3 linked regions of the Pelodiscus sinensis genome follow. The protein of the gene in region 1 purifies or fractionates together with the protein of each later gene. This does not show direct contact. Links are inferred from orthologs where the notes say so. Each region holds a gene or a part of one and is shown on either strand. Other genes may lie near its edges.

Evidence for each region. The genes of interacting proteins can lie anywhere in the genome.
Region 2: the proteins of EIF2AK2 (region 1) and STAU2 purify together in Homo sapiens (affinity purification with mass spectrometry; 3 studies listed by BioGRID and IntAct, with this or other methods). This does not show direct contact. The link is inferred for Pelodiscus sinensis from reciprocal best matches to the Homo sapiens genes EIF2AK2 and STAU2.
Region 3: the proteins of EIF2AK2 (region 1) and DHX30 purify together in Homo sapiens (affinity purification with mass spectrometry; 3 studies listed by BioGRID and IntAct, with this or other methods). This does not show direct contact. The link is inferred for Pelodiscus sinensis from reciprocal best matches to the Homo sapiens genes EIF2AK2 and DHX30.

The regions. Positions count from the first base shown.
Region 1 is NC_134713.1:137,312,505-137,322,952, forward strand, and holds the start of EIF2AK2 (interferon-induced, double-stranded RNA-activated protein kinase), read right to left. Parts: upstream 4,538-10,448; 5' UTR 4,306-4,537; intron 3,737-4,305; exon of another isoform or gene 3,639-3,736; intron 1,007-3,638; 5' UTR 996-1,006; coding exon 874-995; intron 1-873. Other genes in the region: sulfotransferase 6B1-like, read right to left, coding at 8,585-8,715, 9,878-10,034.
Region 2 is NC_134712.1:53,730,000-53,740,713, forward strand, and holds the start of STAU2 (double-stranded RNA-binding protein Staufen homolog 2), read left to right. Parts: upstream 1-6,017; 5' UTR 6,018-6,111; intron 6,112-6,153; exon of another isoform or gene 6,154-6,302; intron 6,303-10,714. UniProt on the Homo sapiens protein: RNA-binding protein required for the microtubule-dependent transport of neuronal RNA from the cell body to the dendrite.
Region 3 is NC_134712.1:256,902,368-256,913,294, reverse strand, and holds the start of DHX30 (ATP-dependent RNA helicase DHX30), read right to left. Parts: upstream 4,698-10,927; 5' UTR 4,674-4,697; coding exon 4,487-4,673; intron 894-4,486; exon of another isoform or gene 720-893; coding exon of another isoform or gene 680-719; intron 1-679.

The sequences.
Region 1 (10,448 bases):
GAGAAGGATGGCCTATTTTAGGCTATGTCTACACAGCAGTGTTATTTCTGAAAATAACAAAGAGCACGTCTACACTGTAAGCCATTATTTCAAAATAATGGAAAACTGCAGGACTTCTTACTCCACCTCCTGTAACTCTCATTTTACAAGAAGTAAGGGAAGTTGAAGGAAGAGTTTTCTTCCTTTGACTTCCTGCTATGTAGACAGTGCCAAAAACCAAATTAAGCTATTTTGACTTAAGCTACGCAATTGACGTAGCTCAACTTGTGTAGCTTAATTCAACTTTTGCCCTGCTGTATAGACGTATCATTGGTTACATAAATAAAATACATCCATCCCTGGTCTGCAACTCCATCATTCCTTTACGAAGGGCAAGCCAAACTTAGGTCGACTTACACTGACACCCAGCTACTGTAGTAATTAAGTTGGTTGTGCATGTCCACACCACACTCCTTCTGTCAGTGGAGCTCATCCTAATAGAAGCGCTTACATCAAGGCAGAGAGCAGTGTACTGTGGGTAGCTATCCCACAGTACAGCTCACCACAGGGAGTTTTAGGAAGGACTGGCAATCTCCATGGGACTAAAACATAGGCTTTAACAATCTATGATGCAGTTTTCTCTCTCCCCTGGTTTAATCTGCAGACTAAAATATTTCAGGCCTTTTTTCAAAAGGCACATACATAATCTCCAGAGAACCATGAACCCCACTCAGCTGCACACTATTGTGGTGAGCACTGCAAACACTACAGGCCTTATCCTGGTGTATTTTCAGAGCTGCTATCTCCATTTAAGATGAAGCAGTGGTTACACTGCACTTTATTTCTCTCATTAAAATAAGTTGCTGTATTTATCAGCACATACTATGAACTTACACACGATCATGAGGAGGACCATCTACTTTGACATCCTTATAATCAAGTTGAATCTTATGCTTCTGACAATATTCATGAAGTTTGCCCTTGTACAACTGTGTCTTAGGACTATATTCTGCCATTTTGGCACAACCTGTAAGGCAAAAAAAATTTTGACTAAATCTTGCATTTTGAGTATTTGTGCATTAGGGAATGAAAACATAAACAAGACTGGCAGCCCACATTGTCTAAGGGTTTTGGAGCAAAGTCAGAAGATGTTTACAAATGCGGAGAATCATTAGATGTGTTTTGACAGAAATATTTATTGTAGGTAAAATATTTGTTGTAGGTAAAAATCATTCATCTTGAAAATTATAGAACCTAGTTGCTTGTCATTTATTATTTAAAACACTTCTCAGGGCAGAGCCTATATCTTCTTATGTATTTAAAGTGTCTAGTACAAACTAACCCTAATCAGGCACTAGCATAATATGAAACTTAGTGGTTAATTGAATCTGCTCCTGAAGCTACAGAATATGAAACTGAAACATCAATATGTTAAAAGAGATTGTTACTTTGCACTAAGAAAGGAGAGTAATTGACTTTTACATGTTTCTTGAAGATTTTAGTTTTCACTGGAGTAACAGATTTAGGAATCTGAATTGAGATAATTCTAGTAATTTGGGGAAATATATTATAAGGGGGTTTTTTTAAGTAAAGTAGCAAACAAAAAGCCAGGAAAACAACAAATAAAAAGTGTACAGTGTGTTTTATTGTATAAGTGCACTCAAACAAAACAATGTAAAACTTTTGGACTTGTAGGTTCTCTCAATCCCACTCTTCCTGAGCTAATTGGTAAAACAAGCTAATCTGTTTACATTCACTGGCAATAATGCTATCCACTTAGGGTTTACAATGTCACTTGAAAGTGAGTACACACATTTCTCTGATACTTTAGTAGCCAGTGTTGCAAGCTATTTACATGCCAGACAGAAAAATTTCATTAAAGCTACTGTTTCAAATAAAGTTCACATCACACTAATTAAGAAGGAAAGCACTATACATCTGGGGTCAAGCTTAGATTATGGGAAGTTATAAGAATAGGTTTACACAGTTCGTGAGATACATAGCATACGTAACCAGCATTGTCCCAGCTTGAGGTATGTGAATTTTTTAAAGCAGCAGAGAATACGTAGTCCTGGGAATACAGAACCACAAGGCTACAGAACCAGAGTCCATTCTGGTGAAGCACCTGGGTGGAGTGCATCCCTTGTTCCTCTGGTGTCTTGTGGATCTTGCTAAAACATTCTTATGCTTCTTCATTCTTTGACCACCATTCCTGCTGATGACTCTTGTTTAAAAAAAATGCATTCATTAAATTTGTGACTGAACTCCTTGGGGGGAGAATTGTATGTCATGCCAAAGAAGGAACCAATATGAGATATTAAAAGATGGCTACAATAGTCGAATCAAAGTTTAAGAATCTGAAGTGCCTTCCAAAATCTGAGTGGGACAAGGTGTGAAACATGTGGTCTAAAGTCTTTAAAAAAGCAACATTTTTATTCTGAAACTTCAGCACCTAAATCACCAAAAAATAAAACCAATCTTCTGCTGACAGCTTCTGACTCTGATGACAAAAATGAACGTGTGTCAGTCCACAGTGCTTTGGAGCATTATCAAGCAAAACCCATTGTCAGCATGGAAGCATGTCCTCAGGAACTGTGTCAGAAGCACGAAGGGGGATACAAATGTTTAGCATATATGGCATTTTGCAATACCAGCTACAACAGTGCCATAGGAATGCCTTTTCTCACTTTCAGGTGACATTGTAAATAAGAAGAGAGCAGCATTATCTCCCATAAATGTAAACAAACAAGTTAGTCTTAGTGATTGGATGAACAATAAGTAGGACTGAGTGGACCTGTAGACTTTAAGTTTTACATTGTTTTGGTTTTGACTGTAGGGATCGCATTACCGTACTTGTATAAAGTGAACTAAAAATACAGTTTATTTTGTTTATTTTACAATGCAAATATTTGTAATCAAAATATAGAGTGAGCAAATTTTGAATAATGTGTCAGTAGTAGGAATGATAAAAAGTACATTCTTTTGTAAACATGTAACTGCTGAAATTTTTCAGTGGTTACATGTTTACCTGTGGGGAGGGGAGGTGCGGCTCTGAAAAGCTGGCTCTCCATGAGCACCAGCTTCCATCTGCTCCCCCAAACTGCTTCCTCTGATATAGAGCACAGGGGAGAGCCATATTGTAGAATGATCACTGCAAGCAGCTGTACCATTGCTATGAGTGGCTAGCTGGTGACAGGGCTCATCATCTTGCCTGCCACTGCTCCAGGTAAGTGGGAGACTGCCGCAGCCAGCCCCCCTCGATAGCTCCAGAGAGATTGGGAGCAGGGCAAAAGCCCCCATCCAGGCTCTCCCTGGTGCCCAGGGAGAAACTGGGCAAAAGCCCCTGCTGAGCTCCCCCTTTGAGCCCCAGGAGGGGTTGGGGACAGGGCAAAAGACCCCGTCAGGCTTCCGCCCCCGAGAGGGCAAAAGCCCCTACCAGGCCCACACTGCCAACCCCCTGCCCTGAAAGACTCAGGCAACATCCGGGAAGTCTTCTAGTAACTATATATCCAAATTGTTTTCTCCCTCCCTGTACTCCCTTGGATGTAGAAATGACTTTTTCAATATTATAAACTTTTCAAAACTGCAGGACTTCAAATCCATTGTTGTGAATGGGTACCTATTGGCCTGTATTTCAGAGATATGAATTGTAAGCATACCTCTCCTTTCCCCGCAGTTTGTCACTTCCAAAGCAATAACTGCATTCACTTCTACTCAGAGGGCTGCTGGCCACTGTCCTGGGACTTATACTTTGCACCTGTAAGGGGAACAGAAGTCACTAGCACCTTCCCTTGACAGGTGACTTCCGGGTAGTCCCCAGCACTGCTCCTATTTCCTGGGCATGTTGTCACACAGCTGCAGTCTGGGATGCCAAGTATAATGCTAAGTCCGCTCTTTGGCTTTTTTCAGTTTCCAGAGATAGCAATGCCAGGTTTAGCATATCCATATATACAATACAGAACAGGACCAGAAGCCCAGATCGTGATCACCCCAACCCTGGCTGTGTGGGTCAAGCTCCAGCCTGTTCCAATTCACACTCTGCGTCCTAGAGCCCAGAGGGGGCTCTGGGAAGAAGAGGAAAAGACCCAGCACTAGCGCACCCTACCTCATCCCCGCCTCCTACCCCTGCCCCCAGCCTCCCTCTCCAGTCTGGGTCCGCAGGGACCAGCACAGCGGCGCGGGCCAACACCAAGGTCATCGACACACACACCCCTCGACCCTTTGCAGGAGCCTGCCCGGCTGAGGGTCACTCGCCCCCACCCCACCCTCGGGGCCTCCCTCTGAGCTTGCACCGCCTCGAGCCCTCCCGCCGGCCCGGCCACTCACCAGCCGCGCAGCACCCCGGCCGGCCCGCGCTCACTGCGGCAAGGGACTGGAAGTGGCGGCAGCTCAGCCCCGTCTGTTTCGTTTCCTCGCGGCGGCTTCCCCGGGCCGCCTCGCTCCTCCCACTCCGGCTCCGCGCCGGAATCGAAACCAAAAGCAGGCGCCGCCGCCCGCGGGCCCGGCTGCTCCTCGGGTGGCTGGAGCCCCGCGGGCCAGCAGGGGAGGCGGGCTGGGGCGGCCCCTCCTAGGCAGCCCGAGCCCAGCCTCGCCCCGCCTTCCCCTTTCACGGAGCAGCCGGGCCCAGGGCTCCTCGGTTCCCCCCCTCAAGCCCCCAAATTCAGCCGCCTGCTTCTCCCTGCTCTGACTCCGCTTCTCTCCGGGCCCAGCGCCCGCCCTTCTTCCTTTAGCCTTTTTCTTCTGAGCGCCCGCAAGCCCCACTCCCACCCCCACTCCCGCCGCCGGCTCTCCCTCCACCCCCACCCCAGAAGGAGCAGAGGAGAGGGGGAAAGTCCCCTGCGGGCTACCCAGGCTGGGGAAGGAGATAGGGCGAAAACCTGCTGCCTCCTCTCCCAGCCCCCAGGAATAAACCAGCAAGCAGGATGGTGCCTCCCCCTCACGCACCCAGGACAAGTCGATGGATGGGGTGCGCTCCCCTCCCCCCCGCTAGTCTGCAGAGAAGCAGGAGGACGGGGTGTGCAGCCCCCTCCTGTCCCATGGACAGGTTGGCGGCACGATGTACTGTCCCTGCCAGCCCAGCCCGCCCCCCTGGGGAGAAGCCAGCCACCTGCATTCTTCTGCCCTGAGCCCTCCTACTCCCCTCAGCTCACCCTTCTCCCAACCCCATGCCCTGATTCCTGCATCCCCACCTCTGTCCGCCTCACCCTCACTCTGGCACCTCACGCATCCCAAACCCTCTGCCTGAACTCCTCCTCAAGCCCCCACCCTGACTCCTGCACCCCTCACCTCTGCCTTCCTGCCCTGAGCCCCCCACATACTCAGGGCACTTCCCCAATTGCCACACTCCCCGCACTGCCAGCCTTCTGCCCTGAAAGACCCAGGAAATGCTGGGTAAGCCTAGTTTGACAAATGTCAGCGAAGTTAATCAAATATTAGAGTTGCCATACTTACATTAAGGAATGAAGGATGAGAAAGTTCGCTAACGTCTGTAAAAATGGTGACGAGAAGATGTGTTCAAAATGGATGGGCACAGCAGCCAAGAGCAACACTCTCCTATATCTCCCATTCATAGTATGTGTGTAGGAAGAGGGTCCCTTAAGATTAAACCTGCCTATCTATATATGTTAGAGCTTTTATGAGTCTGTTTGTGAGTCCGTCCATCTGTGAGTCAATTTGTTCAAGAACTCCTAAATGACAAGAGCTAGGGCCACCAAATTTGGTATGCAAATGTCACTGAGGAGAGGAAAGTCATTGGGGCCCTGCTCCCCCTCATCCACAGTCAGATGTGATTCAGCCAGCCCACAGAACGAAAGGTTTATTAGTTGACAGAGATACAGCATAGAACAGACTTGTCAGCACGGAAACCAGAAGCAGTCAGTACAATCCATCTTGGGGACAGGGTGCTCAGAGTCCCTCATCCCATCTCTGCATCCCAAGCCAGCAAGGGCCCTCACCCCCATCTCTGCACCCCAAGCCAGCAAGTCCAACTTTTGCACTCAACAGCCTCTATCAGCCCTGCAGCTGGCCCCACTTCCAGCCTTTGTCCTGCTTCTCCAGGCAAAGGGTGGCATCAAGTCACACTCCCTCCTAGGCTTGAGTAGGGTATGTCTACACTGCATTCCTCTTTCGAGAGAGGAATGCAAATGCAGATGAATGAAATTACAAATGAAGTGTGGATTTGAATTTCCCACGCTTCATTTGCATAATTGCGTCCGGGCACTATTTCAAAATACCCTATTTTGAAAAAAGAAACGCTGTCTAGACGCAGTTATTTTTAAAGAAAACCCTTCTTTCGAAATAACTCTTAAACTTAACCTAACATGACCCCCCAGAAGAGACATCCTCTCCCAAGGAGAAGCAGAAAACAGTGGCTCAGTCCCCTCCTTTGAGGAGACTGCAGCCTAGTCCTCCCCCCCATTGGAGGGTGTGTGAGGGGGGACAGCTGGAAGCTGAGGCCAGCCTTCCCCCCAGACAGCATGGAGGTAGGGGGGAGCCGGAGGCTGGGACCATCCTGTGGAACCCCAGCATCTCCCCAGACAAGCTGAAGGTTGCAACCAGCTGGGGACTGCAGCCCCAGTCCATGGGAGAAGCCACCAGCCAGGACATGCAGTCCCAGCCCCCACTCCCAGGAGACAGAATGCTAAGTTTGGTCCATTGCTACACATTTTAGTTTTAGAATTTGAGAAACTAGCAGTAGTCAGTGATAGAAATGTAGCCGTGTTAGTCTGGTGTAGCTGAATCAAAAAACCGAACTATGTAGCACTTTAAAGACTAACAAGATGGTTATTAGGTGATGAGCTTTCGTGGGCCAGACCCACTTCCTCAGATCAAATAGTGGAAGAAAATTGTCACAATTGTGACAATTTTCTTCCACTATTTGATCTGAGGAAGTGGGTCTGGCCCACGAAAGCTCATCACCTAATAAACCATTGTGACAATTTTCTTCCACTATTTGATCTGAGGAAGTGGGTCTGGCCCACGAAAGCTCATCACCTAATAAATGATCTTGTTAGTCTTTAAAGTGCTACATAGTCTTGTTTTTTGATTTAGCAGTAGTCACACATGGTAGTTCTGTTTCTGTCCAGCAGAGGGTAGCAGTACACAGGCAAACATCACTGGTACCAACACACAGAGATGACAAAACATTGCATGTTTTTCCAGTTATAGACTAACTCGACTGCCCCCTAAAGCTATTGCTAATTTATTTGTGTAACACTCCTGAGACCCTTTGATATTAGAGCAGTAACTCTCTAACAATTTGTATAGCGTGGGCGAGTGCTGAAAACCAATGAAAAAAAACATAAACCCTGTATATGATGTAAACCACATTCAGCCAGTGGGTGCTGCTGCATCCCTAGAACTCCTATAAGAGAGAGCCTCAAAGATGGCTGGAAATGTTTTTCCCCCTTTTCCTTCACCACTAGATGTGCTTCTGACATAGGACTTCTACTCACTATTTTTATCGAATATCAACACTATTTTCATACCCAGACCTCTCCCATTTACATCTCTTACCAGCTAAAGTATTGTGCCCAGAGCCCTCTTCAGAATGAGGTGACTCCATAACAGTCTCTATAGTTGCAGAAGCATCAGTCAGGTATGACCAGGGCCTTCTTTCAACAGCTTTTTAAAAATTACTCCATAGTTATATTCTACCATCAGGGAAAGGAGAGGTTTTTTTCTCTAGCTTGTTGAGATCGCTTCATGTTCCTAACATGACTAACATCAACACCTTACTTCAATTGGCAACTTTTGCTACCTCATTCACCTCCCTTTTTTGTCAGCAATAATCATATTAAACAACACCAGACAAAACCCGAAGACACTCTGCCTTAACCTTTTGCCAGGATGAATACTGACCATCAGCTCAAATCAATGAACTCTAAGGGCATGTCTACAGTGCAGGGCAAAAGTCAAATTAACATACGCAACTTCAGCTGTGTCAATTGCGTAGCTGAAGTCGAAATAGCTTAATTTGGCTTTTGGCTCTGTCTACACAGCAGGAAGTCAAAGGAAGAACACTTTTCTGTTGACTTCCCTTACTCCTTGTGAAATGAGGATTACAGGACTCAGAATAAGAAGTCTTCCATCTCAAAATTATTTCAAAATAACAGATTGCGGTGTAGATGCACACTTTGTTATTTCAAAATAACGTCAGTTATTCCAAAGTAACACTGCTGTGTAGACATACCTTAAAGGAATTTCATACAAGGCCACAGAAAACATAGGATGTGTTTAGGACCAAATTAACTACTGAAGCTGATCATCCAAAAAAATGTTCAAGGTGTTTAACACCCAGAGCATTCAGAAAGTTTGGATCTAGAGCAGAGCTCAGTTTGAAATAATGGCAGATTAAGAAAAAAAAATCTCAAATAGGCACAGAAACTTTGATATACTAGTCATATGTTCTACATATTCAGCTAAATGCTTCTGTCACGTCTATATAGGCCTAATAGCAGAATTTGGCCCATTATTTACTGAGTTCTCATTATTTCTTTATTTTGCAAATTCATTTGTGAAAGTCTAAATCATTTGAATCTATGCATTCCCAAATGTGAAAGGCAATGAAATACGTGATAATGTAGCATCAGAACGAAGTTAAGATTTAGTATTTGCAGTATTTATCATATTTTAGCTTTGCTCCCAGTTCAGTTCCCGCTGAACACTCTTCAAATTTGGCATCCATTTTCTGGCTCTGAGCTTCAGTAAAGAGGTTCTTCCAATCTCCAATGCCACCTGCACATGAACAATGAAATAAATTATAACATCACAGGTGAAGGGTCCTTATTAAACTTATCCACCTGAAGGTGTGTGTGGAGGGGGGGAACCCGGGTCCATTGGCCACTTGACCAGTCCTCCACCCCAGGCTCTCCATCCTCCAGCCGCTCTCCCCCATGCCCATGGGAAGCAGCCACTCACCAAATGGCAGCCAACAGCAATGCAACATTACAGGGGTGGGAGGACTCAGGAGAAGGGGGCAGCACAGCCATGCAGCCAGCTGCCAGAGAGAAGCAATGCTCTACTGCTTCAACTTGCTGCTTTTTCTTGCGAGCTGTGCAGCTTGTGGGCTCTCCATCCCCTGGCCACACCCATCCCCACCGCGGGCAACCACGGCCAGCCACTCTCCCCAACCTGTGGACAGCCACCACTCACCAGAAGGCAGCCAGCAGCATGATCACGGGCTGGAAGGCTTCAGAGGAACACTGGGTCGCTGCACAGCCTACGGCCAGAGGGAAGCAGCACTTTCCCACTTCAGAGCGCTGCTTTTCTCTGGCCAGCTGTGGGGCTGTCCCACACTCCTCTGAACCCTTCCAGCCCATGTTCGCGCTGCTTGCCACCTCCTGTTGGCTGTCCTGAGGCTGCAGCCTGCAGATGAGCCTCCCTGCTCTCCTAACCCCCATGCACCCCTCTGCAGAGTGACCATCCCGTGTGGAGGGGGTGCCGTAACAGGGTCCACCCGCTTGTGAGTGCCCCTCTGTGGTAAAGGGGTGCCGCATAAGGTCTCTGCTTAGTCATCTTCAAGGTTCTTGTAGGAAGCTTGTGGCCAGTCTTCGGTCACTGGACCTGGGCCTTACCACGGTCTAAGTTCAGCTTGCCCTCGGAGCTGTCTATAGTGCTGCTGGTCTCCAAGTCAATGTATAACCTGCCTGCGTTGAGCTCCTGTGAAAAACTGCCAGGCCCTAGCCCAGCAGCTTCTTTTATACCGGACTGCTGGGTCCTGATTGGCTGCCATAAAGATAGCCATTCTATCCTGCCTGGAGGACCTCTTTTCTGCTCCTCTCGCTGGGAGGGGGTGTGGCAAGGACTCTAGCCTCCTGTAGGGGCATCAGGGCTTAGTCCACCCCATCACAAGAGCTCATGGCCTTGAAATGACTATCATCACTCCATATAAAAGTACCTTTTCTGAAAAGCATGGGAGCAAATTTGCCATGTGTTTCTTGGGATTTGTTGCTCATGGATTCGAAGGTGGCATTCTCTGCAATAGACTGAATCTTCTCTTCAGGCAGAGAGAACCCCAAAAAATCAGCTATTTGTTTCACTCCTCCATGTAAATTCTGAAACACAAGAGTGTGCTGGAATTATGTACGAGTCAAAGAAAATATGCCAGACATTTTCCTCTTCTCTTTTGTCAAATGAATGTGGCAGATTTTATCCCCCTCCATACACAGAGCAGAACAGTAGAACAGTATAGTAGATTCAGCAGCAAGATGTTGCAGAAATGAGTGGTTAGTTTAGACAAGATTTTGGTATCCGTCTTCCCTTCTCCAAATGGAAATGTGTTAAAAGGATACTCAGTCTTTTGCATGTTTCTCTTTTAATATTTATTTCTACTGATTACATTTGTTTAGCAGCATCAATGGGTAATACAAATGGATATTACATGCCCTTAAAAATATAAGACCTGCAAACATACATATGCTTAACTTTCAGAATGTGAATAGTCTCACTAAAGCAAATGGGACTACTCA
Region 2 (10,714 bases), on another chromosome or scaffold:
TGGTAAGAACATTACAGTAGTCGAAGAATTGTATGCCATGCTCACTGTTTTTTTCCCCATTTATCATTGCCTATTATAGATGACATAGACAAGAGCCATAAATGTGCAAACAAGATGTATATTTCAGCTACGTCAACAATAATTTGGTATTTTTTTTTACCCTTGAAATTTCCCATTGTTGATGCAGCCTGTGCAGTCACACAGTGGGAGCACTAGTTTAATCCGGCTTTTGAATCATAGAAATGTAGGTCTGGGAAGGACCTCAAGAAGTCATCAAGACCAACCTTCTGTTCTGTGGATGGTGTTTTTACTCATGTCATTCAGCCTTGCCGAGAATTGGTTTAGTAGTGAATAGAGTTATCAAAACACTGGCAAATAGACTAGTGGTAACTTCCTATTGGAAAAAGACAAATAGTCCAGTGTAGGGGAATAGCTGAAAAAATATGGAGGTGGTTGTTCTGGAAAAACTAACACACCAATTACATACCAGCAAAATAGAAGACAGATACTTAGCTATTTGGTTACCTTTTATTCAATACTCAAAGTACATTCACCTGCAAAAATAAAAACAACAAAACATGCCCACAAGAACCATGCAAACCTGTCCATTTTTAAAATATTAACATCTGATAGACATGACAAGTTTGTTAAATAGGTGTATTCAGAGAATTCAGTCAATAAAATCACTAGAAACAACATGTCATGGGTATCATAAAGATGCTCATTCTATAACATGGTTAACGTCCTGTTAAGTAGAATGATCCAATGATTATATTAGTTTCTCTTAACAAAATTTCCTTGTGGTGGTAATTATTGTGTTGTCTCTGATAATTATATGGTCAAGATTGTAAACCTATTAAAACTCTCAATGAAGATATAGGTTTCATTAAAAAAGTTACTTGCCACACTTGAAATGTCTGTTAACTCTTTCATCATTGCTACCATTGGTGGAGAAACAATAATTGGAGAATCCTTAGTATTGTATCAGACATAGCCTAGCCAAGACTATTTCCTATTTTTAGTACAGAACAGAGATTTCACTCTTACTCCACTCCAGTTCCATTCCTGGGGCTGCTGGTGTTGGCTGCCCAGCAGCTGCTTGGGTGGGTGGGTGGGATGGGGCAGGGGGACTTGGAGCCACCACCCTGTGCTGCCCAGGCGAATGCTCTATCCCCAAGTCCACTCTAGAACCCACCCCACCTCCTTATCTTCAGCAGGTCCCTTATCCTGCCTTCCTAATGTGGGAACCAGGTCCATCCCTGGGGCAGCCTGTGTTGGCTGTCCCACTGTACCAGGGCGGCTTGAGGGAGAGAGGGGACTTGAAGCCATCACTCTGGCACCACAAGCTGACAGTCACCTGGGTCAAGAGTTTCTTTTTCAGTCTGTTTTTGCAGAATGCAATAAATGGAAAGTTCTTATATTGTGCTTTGTTTCAAACATTTTAAAAATGTATGCCAACAGCAGAAAAATATAAAAGGGAGAAAATTTGGGCCCAACATTTTAGGATGATTGAAAAAGGAATTTACAAAACATGCATAAATGTTTTTATGAACTTTTAAACATACAATTGAAAAGTGTTTAAATATTCTTCAGAACTGATGATTCTAAACATAGCAGCTCTGTGCTGATGCTCAAAACCAGTAAAGGAAAACTGACTAGAAAACATGTATAAGGTAAGCTAACATTGCAAATTAGGGATGTAAGGGAGTAGTCATGTAGTCGAATAGACTACTCGCATCCCCCCACTTTCTGCCTGTGAATAAGTGGGGGGAAGCAGGAGCCAGTGCTGGGAGGAGCCAGCTTAAAAGCTGGTTCCCCCCAGCACCGTCTCTGCGGTGCTGCCCATCCCCTCCTCACTGCTGCCTCTATCAGAAGCAGATGGGGGGGGGAGCGGGAGGTCCCAACTTCCCACTGGGACCCTGCATGGACAGGGGCTGCTGCTGGCTGGGCAGGCATCCCAGCTCAGTCCTGGCTCATACCAGTGCTTGACCAAATCCTGCTGCAGCTCTGCAATTTAAAAGGCAGTAGGAGCTGGGGGTTAAAATACCCGCCTTTTAACACTCCTGTTGCAGATAGTGAAAATAAATAGTTTTAAATCAATTCACATATCTTAACTGATTATACAGACTCTGGCTACATTAGAAAGGTACATGTGCAGGGCATCCAGTTACTACAAGTTGGACCTTCCTGCGCTGGCACCCTCAGGACCTGAAAGAGAGTTTGCCAAACTAGGGGAGCCCCTCTGCTCACAGACTCCAGGCTCTCCATAGCCAGCCCCAGGGCTGCAGGGACACTGCTGCCCCAGGCATGCTGGGGTCACTTGGTCTCCACAGCCACTCCAGTGATGCTGGGCTGTTGGGCTCTGAAGCACGGGGCTGTCGGACTCCGCTGCCCGGAGAGGGGAGTCTTTGGTCCAGGAGTTCTCTGGTCCAGCAACATCGGTGGTCCAACCAAAGTGTCCCAGACCAGGGTGGTTCAACTTGTACAGTGTTAACTCATTACATAATGAAAGTAAAAGTCCCAGCTTGCAGCACAGGCACATGCATAACTATGTTTGAAGCATCTACAAATTGTGCTAATGCCTTAAACACAGCTTATTGTCCTGGTTAAAACACACAGGTCCCCCAACTAGTTTGCAAGATGGGATGCTGCTATAACTAATGGGTTTTACTGTATTGAACTCTGACATAACGGAGTGTGTTGTACAGTGTAGATTTTAAGATTGTTAATGAGTTAAGTCTCTGAGCTATGTTTCCGTAGCTGTGAAAACAACAAGAAGTCCCGTGGCACCTTAAAGAGTAATAGGTTCATTTGGGCACAAAATCATTTTGTCAGATACATGCAACCCATCAGGGTTCTGTGTGTGACTCATGAGCCATTTTCTTTACTGTAGTCCATGATTTTGCTAGTTTTCATTTTATTTTTTTAACTACTGTTACTAAAGTGACATGGACTTAAAGTAAGGGAACATAAAATGAGGTGCATGCTGATTGCACACAACATTGACTGTGAGAGCTGTACACACCCTCTGCATTCAAAGTGCTACTATGGTTCTGTGGTTTGTACATACTGCAAATTCTAGGAATACAAGTACAATTAGCAAAAATACCCTATCCTGAAATCATCTTGATCACAATCTTGTAGCCCACTGAGATGAAGGAGGGCCACTCATGCAGCCCACTCACTAGCCTAGGTTGCCTATTGCTGTTCAAAAGCTTTTTCTGTTTCACAAACCTTGATCCAATAAAAGATACTATCTCATCCACTTTGTCTCTGAAAAAAGTAGGAACCAACTGCCTCCAACGTAGACACAAGATTTCACAGAGTAGTCAGCAGGGGTCACTTCCTAATGACACATGCGGTGAGGACTCCTGTGAACCTTATAGACTAACCAAAGTGTTGGAGCATAAGCTTTCATGGGCAAAGACCCACTTCGTCAGATGCATGACACATGGTCATTTCAACAAAAAATTACCCCAGAAAATTATAGGCAAATGCCCAAACCCAGAAAAAGTAAATTAGCTTAAGAATGCAACTTGATTTTCTATCAACATTTGCATTTTAAACCCCAATTTGTCAGAAGAGATGTGGGTAATAACAAGGGTGCTGAGAGCCTTTGAGCCAAACTGTAAACCCTCTATGATGGAAACTACTTCACAACAGGGCATGCAGCAGCAGCCTTAGCACCAATAGTTTCAGTGATGGTGAGATATATATGGTTTATTCTCCCAAACAATGGAAAGTCAAAATATGATGCAGCTTGGTAGCTATGCTAAGTGTTTACACTATATAGTTTAAATCATTTACATTTCATTTTTTTTTGTGGTAAGTTTCATATAAATTATGAACGAGTCAGACTAGATCTAGTTATACAATGAGGTTTACCAGTTATTTTGAGAGAAGGGTTTTCTCTCAAAATAACTGCATCTTCACAGCATCTGTTATTTCAAAATAGCGCCATAACACGAATATGCAAATGAAGCATGGGATATTTAAATCCCAGCTTTATTTGCAATTTTGAATGTCTTCATTTGCATCCCCCTATCAAAAGAGGGTGCAAGTGTAGAAATACCCTGTGTGTATGTGTGTGCACCACAGTTTCTCTGGGCACTGCACTGGTACCCAGCTGGTAGGGGAGTTTTGGGTGTGACTCTTACTGAGGGAGAGTGATAGAAATGTAGCTGTGTTAGTCTGGTGTAACACTCTCCGCGGGGGCGGGGGGGAGCTGAACAAAGACCCCAACTACCTTACCCATTACAAAGATAGCTTCCCCAATTATCACCTCTAATATCATTAACTCACAGATATTTACCTTCCTTCCCCCCCCATTCCCCTTCTGTTCTGAAATGTGATTTGTCCTTTTCATATGTGTTCATTTTTTTAATTGTATCCTTTGGTATACAGGCAGTCCCCGGGTTACATACAAGATAGGGACTGTAGGTTTGTTCTTAAGTTGAATCTGTATGTAAGTCGGAACTGGCATCCAGATTCAGCTGCTGCTGAAACTGATCAGTTTCAACAGCGGCTGAATCTGGACGCCAGTTCTGACTTACACACAGATTCAACTTAAGAACCCCAGGCATCCCCAAGTCAGCTGCTGCTGAAACTGATCAGCGGCTGATTCCAGGAAGCCTGGGGCAGGGGCTTCCTGTAGTCAGCCACTGGTCAGTTTCAGCAGCTGCTGACTTGGGGACACCTGGGGCAGAGCAGCTGGGGTGCTGCCGGGTTGGTCCAGTAGCGCCCAGAGTGGCGCTACTGGACCAACCGGCAGTGCCCCAGCTGCTGTACCACAGGCGTCCGGAGCAAAGCCGTGGAGCACGGGGGCAGCGGGACAGCCCAGACGCGCCGTGGTCTGCAGACCAGGGAGACGGGGAGCAAAGCAGAGCAAAGCCGCGGAGCACGCGGGCAGTGGACAGTCCAGACGCGTCTGGGCTGTCCGTTGCCCGCGTGCTCCGCCACTTTGCTTCCTCTCCCTGGTCTGCTGGAGACCAGGGAGACGGGCCCCGTTCATAACTGCGGATCTGACGTAAGTTGGATCCGCGTAACTCGGGGACTGCCTGTATATGGTTGTGACTATTTTCTTCCACTATTTGATCGGAGGAAGTGGGTCTGGCCCACGAAAGCTCATCATCTAATAAACCATCTTGTTAGTCTTTAAAGTGCTACATAGTCCTGTATTTTGTTCTTACTGAGGGAGGCTGCCCATGCCAGCACCTACACAATGGCTTAGGCTGTCTTGTAACTTGAGCCTAGGTGGGAGATGCAATCAGGTGACATCAGGCAACACTTTTTGCCATGGGGAAGTTGAAGAAAGGAGGTGGTGGGGCTGTCTACAGGGCTGGGACCTGTTGCTGATTGTGTGAGTTAGTAGGCTGGCTTAGGATGCAGGGAGGGAGCCTGCTCCGGGGGGCCCCCTCTTCCCAAATTGGATTATACTGACTGCTCCTGATTCCCCTGGTAATTACAAATCGGTGCTATGCTGTGTCACTGTGAAGCAATAACCCTCTGTTCTACTTGCTGGCTGAGAGTCACATCTGGATGCGGAGGGGGGGGGGGGGGAGATGCAGGGCCCAGGGACTCGCCCACACTCCATAACACAGGTGTTTTCTTGAATTACTTACACCACTTTCCCCCCTAGCCTTGCGGCTGTTCCTGCCCCGAGTGCAAACAGGCTGCCTGAAAGCGCGCTTGCTTTAGCACAAGGTGGGGAGAGGCGGACCCAGCCCCGGGCCTATCTCGATGGGGACCCTCCATTAAATGCCGGGCGTTGCGAAATGGTGGCTGCGAACCCAACGCCTGCCCCCTCCCCGGGAGCCGCCCCGCGGCGAAGCCTGCTCTATCCCCAAGGCAGTGCCCGGGGACGCCGGGGCGCGCTCCGGCCTGTTGGGCCCGGGTGAGCCGGGCAGGACGGCGGGAGCGAGCGGCGGCAGAGCCTGCGGGGCGCGCTGCTCGGCGCTGGCGCTAGGGGGCGCTGGCTGCCACCCGCCAGCCCGGCGCCGCGCGGCGCAGGGGAAGGGAGGCGGACGGGGCCATTAGCGCTGCTGTGGCGGGGGGGAGCGGCGGGCTGGGCGCTGCGCCGGGAGCCTCCCCGCCGGACTCCGGGGGCTGCGGGCGAGTGGCAGCGGCCTCGGGGAGCCGGGAGGCGGGCGGCGAGCCGGGCGGCGCGCGCGGGGGGCGGCGGCTGGGCCGGCGGCGGGCGCGGGGGGGCGCAGTGGTTGGGGCCGGCGGCGGCCGCGGCGGGGTCAGTTCTCTTTAGTGTTTGCCGATGTTGGAGGCGTCTCCAAAGTGTCCCCGGGAACCAGGTAACCGCCCCCCCCCCCGCCCGGTGGCCCCGAGCTTGGAGGGGGGACGAGCAAGGGGCTTTGCCGGGCCCGCACCGCGGCACTCGGCGGCGGGGCGGGGGGAGCCGCGGATCCGGGCGTGGGGGGGGAGCTGTTGTCTTCCCCCCCTTTTGCCCCGGTAACGCGGCTCCCTTGGCGCGGGGCGGTCCTGGGCCCCCAGCGCTGAGCGCTGCGCCCCCGCCGCCCCTGCTCGCAAGGGCCCCCACATCTCTCTCGGGGTGCGATGCTGCCGCCGCCTCCCCCCCCCCGGTCGGGAGTTGCCCCGGCTAATGTCGCTCCTCTCCCAGCCGGTCTCTACGCTCAGACCGCGCTCAAGTGAAATGACTCGGATTTTAGCTGCCCTGCGCGGAATAAAAGCCCAGCTATTGCAGCTGTTGAGGTGATAAAATAGGAGACTGATTATTTACTGTGGAAGTACCACTCGAATTGCGGCTTGGCTGCATATTGTATCAGGCCTGTATTAAATTTGTGAAGTAGCTTTTTATGGCTAGAGCAAGCCTCTTTTTTTCAGTGTGGCTTTTTGAGCTTTTCATTGGCCATATTTTAATTCAGCATGTTTCAGATAACTTATAAAAGATCATTAGCTAATCATGACGGATTTTAAACATTCCATGTTTAACTATTACTGTAGAGCAATACAAAAAGCCTTACACTACATTGTATGCTGCATAGCTGCACAACAGATTAAAAGTAGTGTTACTGTACTCAGATTTCACCTACAATTGTAAACTTTCTTAACAAGCCTGAACTTTCTCCTGCCCCCACAATAGACTGACATTTTTCCTCCTATAAAATGTTCAACTTTGAAACCCTTAACTCTGAAATTTTGTGTTACGTGATTAGCTTTGAAGTCAATAGTACCAGAAGTTAGAAGGAGAATTCACAGCTTTTTTTAAAGTGCTGTTGGGCAGTATTCACCCCAAGTTACTCACACTTTTGCCTGTGTAACCCAGGCATTGGGGTCCCCTGTGGAAGAAAATGAACCATGATGACAGCAGTGCAAAGCCCTCACAAATTTGTTTTGCTGGGGGCTGCACTGGTTGGTGGGGGCTGGACAGTTACCATCACGAAGTTGAGAGGAGACCAGTCTAGAACAGCTGGGAATTGTTTTGTGCTGGCATCCTCTGCTGGTAGGGCTTCTATGAAGACCGTCTCAGGAAGACATTACCTGTTGTCTTCTGAGGGTGAATTTCCCTGCAATGTGGCCAGATTGGAAATGGAGATGTATGGTGCAGTTAGTGATGCTCTTCTTCCCAGCAAATTGTTTCTTTGGGTCATATGGATAGTTTTCTTTGCAATTTTTAGGATTAAAAATGCAGATCTTTATGCTGTCCATGGTGAATATACAGAAATAACTATACTATCAGAAGGCTTTGCTTTCATGAAGGAAATTGTCACAGGTATAACTACATACGTACATAAGAGAGTACAGATTAAAGACGAGTAAACTGAAGCAAAATGGATTTGTTGATTTATCTCAGGTGTACACAGATTAATCTGCCACAGTGTAAATCCTGCTCTGTACTGGTGCAGTGCATTAGAGTTGGCCTCTGTGCAATTGCAGTAATATACCAGTGAAAGTTTTCTTACTATAGAGAGCTGCTTTTTTTTTTTTTTTTTTTTTTTTCTGATTAGGGTTTTTGTGTGACTGTAGGGCTTACCAAAGGTGCCAGACATTCTGATGGATGAAGGCTTTTATTTGAAGAAAGCTGGCAGCAATGCAAGATTTCCAGTGCTGCCCACACGATGAATCTTAACTCTGCTTTGAAGGGATGTGCTACAGCAGATCTCAGTTCTCATGCTCATTTAGAGCCCTCTGGAGATATCCAACACTCGTGGATATTGGCCACTAGAAACTGTATTGATGCCACTGCTGCATTTAACATAAACCATTATTCAGCCAATGCTGCTAAACAATTTATGCTAGTTTCAGATTATCAATTTGTGAAAGGCTTTATAAATCTCTTTACTAAGCTGAATAACTGAGGCCACATCTAGACTTGCAGGAAGATCAATGCCTGCGGTGGTCGATCTTCCGGTGCTCGATTTAGCATGAGGAGTAAGGGAAGTCAATGGGAGGCTGTCTTCCATTGACCTTGCACTGAAGTTTGGCTGAAGGTACATTGACTCCACCTACATTATTTATGTACTTGGAATTGCATACCATAAGCCGACCTTCCCCCATAGCATAGATCTGGCTTCAGTCTCCCCAACAGTTGTTTCTATTAATAATAATAATAATAATAATAAACAACAACATGTTCTTGAGTAATCTTTTATTCCGAAATCTGAAAGTGGTTTACAAAGATGAATTGTTACCCCAGTTTTACCCCTGAAATACAGAGAAGCTAAATGATGTTCCCAAGTTAACACATTATATCAATGGCATAGCTCACATAAACTGTTCTTTGGAGCAGAGAACATAGGCTTGACTTTCCTCTCTTTCCAGTTTTATAAATGTGACTTGTTGACTTCTGTGGATTTCCTCCTGATTTACACGGTTCTAAATATGAGGCATGGATCACGTACTGTCTTTATTTATAAAGTGGGATAGTAAGTGAAAGGTTACAAAATGAATCAGTGGCTGAGCTAGATCTTTGAATTCTAAGGCTGCTTCCCTAACTATGCAGCACCTATCATACTTCCTCTAGATAGTTTGTTTCCCTGCCTGAACTATGGCATTGAAAAGAAGAAATCTATTCTATTTTGTCAAATAGAAGTGTACATTTACAATCCTCTCCTTTTCTGCCAAAAACCTTCTTTGTACAATACCTAGTGTAATTGTGAAGCAGACTTTGAGTTGTAGACCAAATGTTTTCTAACAGTTGTACGTGAATGAAGGGTAGGGTGGCCATTTACCAACTCTCCAGGATTGTCTTGGAATCTCCAGGAATGAAAGATTAATATTTAAAGATTGTTGTGTGATTAAATCTCCAGGAATACATCCAACCAAAATTGGCAACCCTACTGAAGGGCTGCATACTTTGTTGCTTATGTAGGCTGATCTGGCAGGTGGCAGTGAGAAGGACAGGAATGTGTAATAACCTGTAGCAGCTATACAGGGTGCTTCCATTAAGGCTTCATTTTACTGTTAAGTCATCTAATCTGCTTCTCTTATTCTCTTCATTGTCTGTTATTGATATGAAACTGATTAAACAAAGTGAATGCCCTGCTTGACCAATAACAGTTGTTTGCATTTTTATCTTCAGTGTAGTTTATAAGCTTTATTACTCATCCTTTTATGAGAGAGGTTCAGATTTAATGACTTGCTTAAAATCAGTATGAGATACTATCAGATCTAAAATCAGAACTCTGGAGTTACTGATTCACACTCCTGTGTTCAGACTACCTACCATTCCTCCTTTTTTGTTTTGTATTTTACTATATTATGCTTGCAAATCAAGTGGCTGATGGTTCTGCAAATAGAAATTCCAGAATCATTTGGGCTTTGATCAGAGATGGCAGCTGGTTGCATATTTTGGGCTTACCTTCATTAATTAATTATACCTTTTAAGATATACTGTTATAGTTGAATCAGTATATCCCCTTAAAGTAGATGGAATTATATTGGTATGCAGGTGCTTTGTGCCAGCTATACTAGTAATATGTCTCACTTATACCATAGTTTCCACAGGCAGGTGGGATCATTATGATCATCTAGTGTGACTTGTGTAACAGGCCAGAAAGCTTCCCCAAAATAATTCCTAGATTTTATCTTTTGGGAAAACATCCAGTCTAGATTATAAAAATTGGTAGTGATGGAGAATCCACCAAATTCTTTAAGTGCTAGTGGTTCATCAAACTCACACTAGGGGTGTAAAGGTGCACCTACACTGCATCCTTACCTCGAAATAAAGTGCTATTCTGACAAATCCTTTAACTGTCGTGGAATATGGGTTATAGGGATGCCGGAATAATGCACCCATTATTTCGAGATATATTTTGAAATAATGGGAACATTTAAAGATGTGGAATAGCTATTTCGGGATACTTCCGGTATCTCAGAATAGTGCCGCTGTTTAGACGTAGCCTAAGAAAGATGTTGACTATCCGATAAACTTATTGGGTAGTCGAGTCAATTGCTCGCATTCTATTCTTCCCTCTTGCTGCCTCTACATCAGAGCTGGTGGGGGGGGGGGGAGAGGAGGAAGGCTGCTCCAGAAGCAGTTCTTGTCCATGGTGGTCCCAACTCCCCACTGGGACTTCTGTGGACAGCCCCTTTCTGCGGCAAGGCACTGTGGTCAAGGGCTGCTTTGCAGGCAGGAGTTCCTGTCTGCAGGGGGCTGCTACTGGCTGAACAGGCAGCCCTGCTTAGTCCCAGCTTATGCTGGGACCAAACCCCGCTATAGCTCTGCAATTTAAAAGGCAGTAGG
Region 3 (10,927 bases), on another chromosome or scaffold:
AGAAAGGATATTGAGAAAGGTATGAAGAGTCACGTGGGAAAATCAGAGTACACGGGGTCCATAAAAATTAAGAAAAATTGATGGGAGAATGCCCACAAAGTACCAGACAAGCGCAAGGACTAAAATCTTGTAACCCTATAACACACACTGATGTTAAGGATTACGGGAGGACTTTTCCTGTTAGAAGACTCAAATCAGATTTCTCAGGTTGGACTCCATTATACACATTTACAATCACCTAGCAGGGTAGAAAAAGTACAAATGAAAGACCATGCAGTCCCTGCCATAAAGCTCTTACAATCTAAGAATGGCAGCAGTAACCCTTAAAACTAGGGTAGATCACCTGAAATGACAACTAGTGAGGAAAATGTGTATAGCTGAAGAGAGGAAGGAAAAGATTTCTTATTGCTGTGAAACAATGTTCATACAGATTTCAGTAACAGACCCAGAAAAACACCTCAGATCAGAGATGCGTTTTCAATATATGTTGCGGTTTCACCAGAGGTCAGTGCCAAAGTACCTGGCTGAACTGAGCTTGAAGACACCAACCTGACAGTGGAAGGCTTGGAACCTGTCTCCATAAGAAAAATCTCAAAGTGATTTTCATGCTCCCTAGGGCCAAAATAATAGTCACAGAGCTAGAACTCAGGCCTTTAGGGAGACCTTAACAACAACTTACTTGTTGAAGGAGGCAGATCTTTTATTCCTTCAGTGAGCATCCTGGAACAGCCTCCTATGCTCAGTCTACCACTGGAGAACGCAATACAAAGCAATGCGGAAGAAAAGACTCCAACAATCTGCCCCCAGCTTTATGTGAATCACTTATCACTGTCAAGTCTGCCTGTTACACCCATTGTCCCAAAGCAGCATTCTGATTGGCTGGTTGGGCTTTTTGATGTCACAGAGTATGCCAGCTCCCAAAAGTGTACAGCCAAGATCTCAATGAAACAAACAAAAACCCCCACTATACCTATTATGAGGATTGGGGGAGGGGGAGAGGAAATCAGCACAAGGACAGGGCATCTAGGGATAGATTACAAAAAAGTCAGTAGTTGTCTACAGGAAATATGATCCTAAAGGAGAGAAAAACAGTTTAAAATACCTCCTCTCCCAGTGTGTCAAACTGCCTTTTCAGTTTTGTGGGGCGGGCTGATTCAGTTCTAACATTTACACTAGAAAACTGGTTAAATAGGTAGCTGTTCAACAGGCCAATGTACAGGCAGTCCCCGGGTTACGTACAAGATGGGACTGTAGGTTTGTTCTTAAGTTGAATCTGTATGTAAGTCGGAACTGGCGTCAGCCGCTGCTGAAACTGATCAGTTTCAACCGCTGCTGAATCTGGATGCCAGTTCTGACTTACATACAGATTCAACTTAAGAACCCCAGGCGTCCCCAAGTCAGCTGCTGCTGAAACTGATCAGCGGCTGATTCCAGGAAGCCTGGGGCAGAGCAACTCTGCCTCGGGCTTCCTGTAGTCAGCCGCTGGTCAGTTTCAGCAGCGACTGACTTGGGGACGCCTGGGGCAGAGCAGCTGGGGTCCTGCTGGGTTGCTCGAGTAGCGCGGCTCCTCGGCGCTACTGGACCAACCCAGCAGCAACCCAGCTGCTCTGCCCCAGGCATCCTGAATCAGCCGCTGCTGAAACTGACCAGCAGCGGCTGAATCAGGATGCCTGGGGCAGAGCAGCTGGGGTGCTGCCTGGTTGGTCTGGAGCGGCGCTGCGGGACCAACCCGGCAGCCCCAAGCTGCTCTACCCCAGGGGTAGGCAAGAAAAGCCTGGTTGCTGGGGGGGGCACTAGCTGCACCCCCCCCCCAGCAGACCAGGGTGGCGGGACCGCCCAAGTCCTCCACGGCTTTGCTCCGTCGCCCTGGTCTGCTGACCTGGGAGACGCGGAGCAAAGCAGCAGAGCACGCGGGCAGCGGGACAGTCCAGGCACGCCGCAGCTGTCCCACTGCTGGTGTGCTCCGAGGCTTTGCTCCCCATCTCCCTGGTCTGCTGGTCAGACCAGGGAGACGGAGAGCAAAGCCTTGGAGCACGCCAGCAGCGGGACAGCCCAAGCGCGCCGCGGCTGTCCCACTGCGGGCGTGCTCCGAGGTTTTGCTCCCCATCTCCCTGGTCGGAAGACGGGGAGCAAAGCCACGGAGCATGCCCGCAGGGGGACAGCTCAAGCATGCCCGGGCTGTCCCGCTGCGGGCGTGCTCCGCGGCTTTGCTCCTGTCCCCCTGGTCTGCTGGGGGGGCCCAGCAAAGCCGCTGGACCCCCCCAGCAGACCAGGGAGACTGGGAGAAGCTTTTCTCACCCGGGAGGACACAGGTGGCGACCCGCCGCCCGTGAGCTCCGGGGCGAGAAAAGCCCTGTTCGTAAGTGCGGATCCGACATAAGTCGGATCCGCATAAGTCGGGGACTGCCTGTATATGCCACAGTCGACCAAAAGGAAAGCTGGTTGTTCTCTTAAAAGGAAAAGAAAATTAAGTGGCCAATTAGAGACAAAGAAGATTTTTAAAATTATTTGCAGTAAGAGGTATTTATAAAACATTTTCCCTGCTGGTTTTTCTTGTCCCTTTTGTAAGAATTTGCAAAGTAGAAACCCACAGATATAAATCTAAAAGGCACACTGTCTTTTTTTAAAATGGAATGTACATGTAAAGCAGTCATATGACAGCAATAACCCTTCCAGTACACTTTTTGGGTAGAGGAAGGCTCTCAGCCTTTGGCATTATACCACACCAAGCATCCGTGCACATTATATCAGCTTAATGTTATGTCTGTGCCATGGTTTACAATCATATTTACAAACCTCCTTGAAAGATACAAAACCTTTTTATAAGATTGTGAGGTTTTGATACTTGAAAGTTGTAAAAACTTTTTACAAAGTGTGAGATTTTAAGTGCATAAGTCAACCCTGAATGGGATAAGGATATTAAGAAGAAAATAAATTGAAGTGAGTGTCTGGCATTGGAAAAGGTTCAAGAAAAGGCAACAAAAATGATGAGGGGTTTGGAACGGGTCCCGTATGAAGAGAGATTAAAAAGACTTGGACTTTTCAGCTCAGAAAAGAGGAGACTAAGGGGGGATACGTTAGAGGCCTATAAAATGGTGTGAAAAAAGTGAATAAGGAAAAGTTATTTACTTATTCTCACAATATAAGAACGAACTAGGGATCACCAAATGAAATTAATGGGCAGCAGGTTTAAAACAAACAAAAGGAAGTTTCTCTTCACTCAGCGCACAGTCAACCTGTGGAACTCCTTGCCAGAGGATGCGGTAATGGCTAGAACTTTAACAGGGTTCAAAAAAGAGCTAGACAGATTCATGGAGGTTACGTCCATCAATGGCTATTAACCAGGATGGATAGGAATGGTGTCCTTAGCCTGTTTTTCTAGAGGTGGGTGACAGGGGAGGGATCACGTGAGGATTCCCTGCTGTGATCCCTCCCTCTCGGGCATCTGGTATTGGCCACTGTAGGCAGACAAGACACTGGGCTAGTTGGACCTTTGGGCTGACCCAGTCTGGCCGTTCTTATGCTCTTATACTATACACTGAAGGAAGATATGCAGCTTCCCACATGTAATTTATGAAAACTGTAACACATGGGCAGGGCTTGACAAACGGCGGCAAAAGCCACTCGCCAGTCCCGCACTGTGCATGCACAAGAGCCTCCGGTAAATGGGGTGTGCGGCTGACATCTACTCACCATGGGCGAGTAGATTCTATAGTTTGTCAAGCCCTGCGCATGGGAATTCACGGGCAATAAGATTTCTTAACATCTAGCTCACTTCCACGTTTCGTTTGGTTTGGACAACCCATCAGTCCTCAGAACAAAACCAGTATGAGCAGTGGCAGGAACATCGAGGTACACCATGCCAGTTCTCTATACTGCTAGGAGAGCGAGGAGGTGATGTTTCCTCTCCGCAGCCTGTTCAGCTGATCCCCCTGTGCCGAGGTGCCAGGGAAAGGGCTATTTATTAGGATATTTTCATTCCACACAGGCTAAACCAGAAGGCCGGGAGACACAAAGGCTTTCACTCACGACCCGTTTCAAACGCGTGACCTTGAGGTGAAAGGACGCGGAGCCCTTCACCGCTGCCCCGAGCATCCCATTCACCCTGTTTGCCAATCGGGGGCCGAGGCGCGTCCAGAACACGGAGAGATTCACGTCCAGGAAGCGGCTCGTGTTCCCTCCAGAGCCGCTTCGGGACCCGCCGCCCCCTGGGCCCCACGCGGGCTCGCCTCCCCGCACCGGCAGCTTCGCGCACGTGTCGGGAGAGGCGCTGGGGCCGCACAAAGCCCCGTCCCCGCCAAAGCGAGCGGCCGGCGAGGGACGAGGCCTAATCGCCCGCTGGCCCCGCAGGTCGCTCCCCGGGCCCCGCTGCGGAGACCGCGAGGGCTGGGCCCGGCCCGCCGGGGCTCGCGCGCGCTGCCCCCCGGCTGGAGAGAGGGGCGCCCCCCCCGCCACAGGGCTCGGCCCCAGCGCCTCCCGAGCTCACCCTTCACCATGGCGCCGACGTCCGGCTCCTCTTCCGCCCCGGCCGCGGCCTCGCTCAGCGGCCCGCCCGCGCACAGGCCCCGCGTGGCGCCGCCCGCTGCCGGCTCCGCCCGGCGGTAGCGGCGGCAGCGCCGCGGCCCGGAAGCGCCGCTCACCAGCGCCAGCAGGAGCCGCCTGGGCGCCGCCATCTTGCCGAGGCCGCCCACCGCCGGCTTCAGGCCGGGCAGGGGCAACGAGGCGGGCGGAGGGAACCCGGCCGCGCGCAGCGGCCCCTAGCGCGCGGGGCGGCGCACTGCAGGCCCGGAGGAGCAACAGCGCCGCACCTGCCCGCGCCCCTGCGGGACCCATGCGCGCGCCAGGCCCTGCTGGCCGGGGGCATCGCCCGCCCCTCCCCCGCTGCATTAAAAAGGTGGAGGAACAGGCTGAGAAAGCAAGAGATCCCTGCCCACCCCGCAGCTGAGGAACAAGCCTGCACTGACCCTGCCCACACCTGTTCTGAGGCTTAAGAGAGAACTGCCAGGTAGGCCAGTAATGAAATAGAACAATCCTCCTCCCCATTTTTATTTCATATCCACATCAGACATTGTAGGAATCTCATTTAGCATCCGCTCCCCTTGAGTGACCCTGGATAGGAAACCAACTCTTTGTTTTATCTCTGGATCGCATGCAGATCAGTCAGAAGCAACACAAGAGAGAGTAAGCTATTTCAACATGTAAGAGGATATATTCTGAATACTACGTGAGCCTCAAAACAACCCCTTAGGTAGGTCAGCATCACGCACTTTTTACAAATGAGGAAACCGACCCACACCGAGGTTTATGAGAAACTTGTTCATAAAGAGAAAAAGTTAGTGGTGCTGCATATGGTACCCAAAAATTTCAACTTCCGGCTACTCTCTTTTAAAATACATGTTAAAGGGACACTGCCAACTTTAAAAAAAAAATCACTTCTGATAACTTTGAAACTAGAAGACAAAAAATGCATTTGCAATTTTCTTGGTATTTCATGCCACTCTGTGTATATTATCACCAGTGAGGCCAAATTTTAAAAACGACTAGCCAAAAGCAAGCAAGCAGAAATATCTGACTCCAAGAACTATACCAATCAGCAGGAAAGTTCCCAAGCAGGTTTAGTATCTGAAAGTAATTTTTTTTAAATTATATATCGACCATACTTCACTTCTGCAGTTGTAATCAAACTTCATTATTTTACTAACACCTTCAATACTAACATTTGAAAATTAAAAAGTTATTATTTAGGTTGGTCACAGTCTGTATTTTTCTCACTTTGAAAAAAATGTTTGCTCAATTTTAACAATTAAATATTTTCAGCATAAGTTTCTTAATACTGTAACATGTGGATGTCAAGTACCCTGTCGCTGCAGGGATGTTTTAATCCTTCCCCCCATCAGAATTTGTAAATTATCAAAATATTTGAATATACATGAAATCTAACACTTTGGGCTACAATTAAATTGCAAGTGCCTATTTACAGTAGTGAATTGTTTATATGTTAAATTGTCATTCATTAATCAGTAAATACTTTGCTTGCAAACCAAGATTATACATTAGCTAATATGTAAAAAATCATTAAGGGAAGTAAGACTTTCAACAAGTATATCTTCGCAGGGAGCTAAAAGATATCTGAATGGTTACGTTAGCAAGGAAAACCACATATAAAAAAAACTTAACAAAAGAACAAGTGTATTTGGAAGTTTTGAGCACACACTAAATTACTTGACTCAGCAGATGTGCATCTTAGGATATTAAGCCAATTAACTAACATTCTACCAATAATAAATATTTCTGAAAAAATCAGGCAACAAGAGAGGCACTAAAAAAAATGCAGAACAGACTTTCAAACACAAATACTAAAGCCATCCTGGCTGTTTGTTTTCCTAAAAGTCTAACTTCTATCCCCAGTAAAAGAATTCAACAAATACTGAGAAAAGTACAACTAGAGTATGATAACCATAAGCAGTACATAGCATCAATTCCTACACACCAAATATAGCCAGACAAATTCACCAATTAAAAAATCTGGTAGATGTTATACTAAACCCCATGAACTCTATCTTGAAAAATTATTTCAAATCAGTTTAACTAGTATAATTCAGCAGAAGTAAAACTTCTGGGGAAAATAAAAAGCATGTGTATGTAGAAAGGGGATTAATGTTAAATGCTGAGGTATCCAGTTTATTTATTGAAAATCTTCATTGTGATCTTGAAGGAGTAGGATATCCATTAAAGCAGGGGTTCTCAACCTTTTTCTTTCAGAGCCCTCCCCAACATGCTACAAAAACCGCACAGCCCACCAGCACCTATAAAAGCCAGGACTGGCATTAGGACAATTGCCTGGGGCCCCACAAAGGTACATTGCTCAGGCTTCAGCCCTGGGTGGCAGAGCCAATGGCCCAGGCTACAACCCCAAGGCTGTCTAGACTGGCCAGTTTTTCCGGAAAATCAGCCGCTTTTCTGGAAAAACTTGCCAGCTGTCTACACTGGCCGCTTGAATTTCCGCAAAAGCACTGACTTCCTACTGTAAGAAATCAGTGCTTCTTGCGGAAATACTATTCTGCTCCCGTTCGGGCAAAAGTCCCTTTTGCGCAAAAGGGCCAGTGTAGACAGCTCAGATTTGTTTTCTGCAAAAAAGCCCCTATCGCGAAAATGGCGATCGGGGCTTTTTTGCGGAAAAGCGCGTCTAGATTGGTAGGGATGCTTTTCCGCAAAAAGTGCTTTTGCGGAAAAGCGTCCGTGCCAATCTAGACGTTCTGTTCCGAAAATGCTTTTAACGGAAAACTTTTCCGTTAAAAGCATTTCCAGAAAATCATGCCAATCTAGACGCAGCCCATGTGGCAAGGCTTCTACCTTCTGCCCTGAGCCTCAGCGAATCTAAAGCTGGTCCTGTTTGAGCACTCCCCTCAAACCTACTCCCAGCGGGCCTTGAACCTCGCATTGAGAGCCACCACATTTAAGGAAAATTACAGATGATACTAAGTTGTTTTGAGTGATCCACACTCGTGGATGCAGAAATAATAGAGCCCTAAAGAAATGAGAACCGTCGGTGGAGAATACAATAATGAAAAAATGTAGTTGTACATCTGGGGGAGGACTATAGGAAACACATTCAATGGGAGGAGAAACAGTGATGCAGAAAATAAAAGGGAGAGAGTGTTCAGAAAATTAGATATAAATAACAGGGCTAGTGGTTTGTCACGGTAAATTAGACAATAATTCTGGTCACAGAAAAAAGGCAAGAATCGATTTATGGAAAAAATGCCAGCAGTCACAGGATACAATATTTCAACCAAAATGTCCTTTATTTTGCAATGAAAAGCGTTTAACAGCATTTAACTAGTAGTTTAACACCACTATCCTGCTGCTTGTCAGTTCAGACTCAAAGCAGCGAGCTGCTGCTGCTCCTTCTTCTCTCCTACATGAGCTTTTGCAAAGGGGTTGGCAGCTTTGTACAGAAACTTCTTATCCAGCTCTGCCAGCTTCAAGACTTTCCCCAAAGACTAGTAGTGTCACAGAATCCATGAAGTCCCTACCCCAGTCCAGCCATGACAAACCACTAGCCCTCATGAGGTGATGCTCTCCTTCAGCCTCCCATTCAGCCTAGATTTTTACTTGGCATCTCAAGAGTTTCCCACTGAAATACAAATGTCAAATATCATTAATTTGTTTTAATTATAGAATTCATGACTACTGATGCGCTTTTTTTTTTTAAGCTTGACATTGAAACAAGAATGGCTAATGAAACGTTATGCCACCAAAACAATGAATCCGAGGCATTTCTTCCCAGAGCAGGGAGGTAATAGACCCTCACTATGTTGTACATGTCTGATACAACCTTACCGGGAATAATGGATTGAGTTCTGAGTAGCTCATTTTAAGATTGAGTAACTGAAGGATATTCAAAATAAGCAACAAAAAATGACCAGTGACTAGAGGGACTGACTTATGATAGACTAGAAAGAGCTAAATCAACAGTATGGCTGAACAATGACAAAAGGGGACATAACAGCTGACATATTTGAATTATGTTAACACCGCAGAAAGTACAAAGGATGAAATTTAAAAGGAAAAATGCAAACTAATTAGAACTAAACTGGATGAAAAATTAAGTAACACACTGTAGGGAACAACCCTGCATTGTCAGGGGGGATGGACTGGAGAACATAAAAATTCTTTTCCATCTCCAGTTTCTGTATTTCCCTGAAATGTATCTCTCACTGTGTTACTTAATATAAGTACAGGTACTTGTGACATTAATACTTGTTCAGACAGCTGTCCCAGCTAAAAAATGATTTACACTGCTGCATAAGTACTAGATACCAAACTATTATGGTTTGGAAACATTTACTTTTACAAGCAGACACAAATTTTACCCTTGGATGTGAAGCTCCCCTTGCAGTTAAAAGGAGTGACATAGGACCTAATTCTGTTTTCCTATGTAATACATAACTTCCAATGTGGCTACTAATTTTCTCAAACATCCTTCCTTTTTCTTTGTAGCACATGTAAGCATGTATTGGTGGCACAAACACTAAAATGAATGAGAAATAACTCACACTGCAAGGCAGTATGGCACACCTGTCATATCATTCAGCATAGAAAAGAATGGTAAAATTATTTATGAACTGGATATCTTTGTCCAGAGATCTAGTGCTATAGCTGATCAGTCAAGAAAAATTAATGGTGAGAGATGAGCGCATTCCCCAAATCAACCAGTCCTTACCTTTTCTACATGAATTCAGCGAGAACATCTCTGTCAAAGTGAAAAGATCTGATTCCTAGGAAAGCAAGAGGATGGAGAGACAGGAAGTTAGAATTTATATTCCTCTCCGAAATGTCCAAGCCTCCACTAACTTTTCTGATATTAACTATATATTAGATGAAGAATACAGCTGAAGGTTGACCAAATTCCAGTCTGAATGATTGCATTCTGCTTGGCTATAGTATCTATTATGTGCTGTCTTAAATTGCTGAATAAAGTTGTACTCTGTAAAACAGCTACATTTCTATCACTAATGTTACATTCAGAGATTGGGGGAAGTATTCCCTCTAAATATTAGTTCAAGTTTGTAAAAACTTTGGAAATTTGCAGGATGACAAGTGCTACTGATTTCTAGTTATTCACATTTTAGACACTGAAAGTCCCATTGAGATTAAATACAGTATTTTAGTATGGGGTTCTTGTGATCCCCACCTCTCTGTACTGTTTTTCTTAAGCTTGACATATAACTGGAAAAAATAAATTAACAGATGTAAGACACATTGAAGAGGCCTGCATTTGTTTGACATTTCAGGGTTTGTTTGTTTTTGCCCAACTCAAGTTAATAAATTAAGCTATTTTACTTTAAAATACACTGTCCTCAATTTGAACTAACAACATCTGATGGGGAAAGAGAAACATAAGGACAACAAAACATAATTTTAGAAATAATCTATTACCCAGGCCCACTGGTTCATTTTTAGAGCATTTTTGAAATTAGAATAAAAAAGATTTCATAACAGCATATTTGTGGGTGTTCCCATTCAGATAATACTATTATTACTACGCTATTGATTCCAGTGGTATAAGAACAGGCCTAAAATGTGTGTCTATTTTACATAGTGACTATGTGAAAATGGCACCTTTCTTATACAGGCAGTCCCCGAGTTACGCGGATCCGACTTACGTCGGATCCGCAGTTACGAACTTGGCACTTCCTCTCCCTGGTCTCTAGCAGACCAGGGAGAGGAAGCAAAGCGGCGGCGGAACGCGCGGCCAGCTGACAGCCCAGACGCATCTGGGCTGTCAGCTGACCGCGCGCTCCGCTCTGCTCCCCCCCCCCCTGCAGACCAGGGGGAGGGGGAGCAGAGCGGAGCAGAGCAGAGCGGCGGAACGCGCAGCCAGCTGACAGCCCAGAAGTGTCTGGGCTGTCAGCTGGCCGCGCGTTCTGCCGCTCTGCTCTGCTCCGCTCTGCTCCCCCTCCCCCTGATCTGCAGACCAGGAGGAGGGGGAGCAGAGCGGAGCACGCGGCCAGCTGACAGCCCAGACGCGTCTGGGCTGTCAGCTGGCCGCGCGTTCCGCCGCTCTGCTCTACTCTGCTCCCCTTCCCCCTGGTCTGCAGACCTGGGGGACGGGGAGCAGAGCAGAGCAAAGCCGCGGAGCCCGAGGGCAGCAGGACAGCCACGGCGCGTCTGGGCTGTCCCGTTGCCTGCGTGTTCCGCCGCTTTGCTCCCCGTCCCCCTGGTCTGCAGACCAGGGGGACGGGGAGCAAAGCAGAGCAAAGCCACGGAGCCAGAGGGCAGCAGGATAGCCACGGCGCGTCTGGGCTGTCCCGCTGCCCCCGTGCTCCGCGGCTTTGCTCCGGACGCCTGTGGTACAGCAGCTGGGGCGCTGCCGCTCTGGGTGCCACTGGACCAACCCAGCAGCACCCCAGCTGCTCTGCCC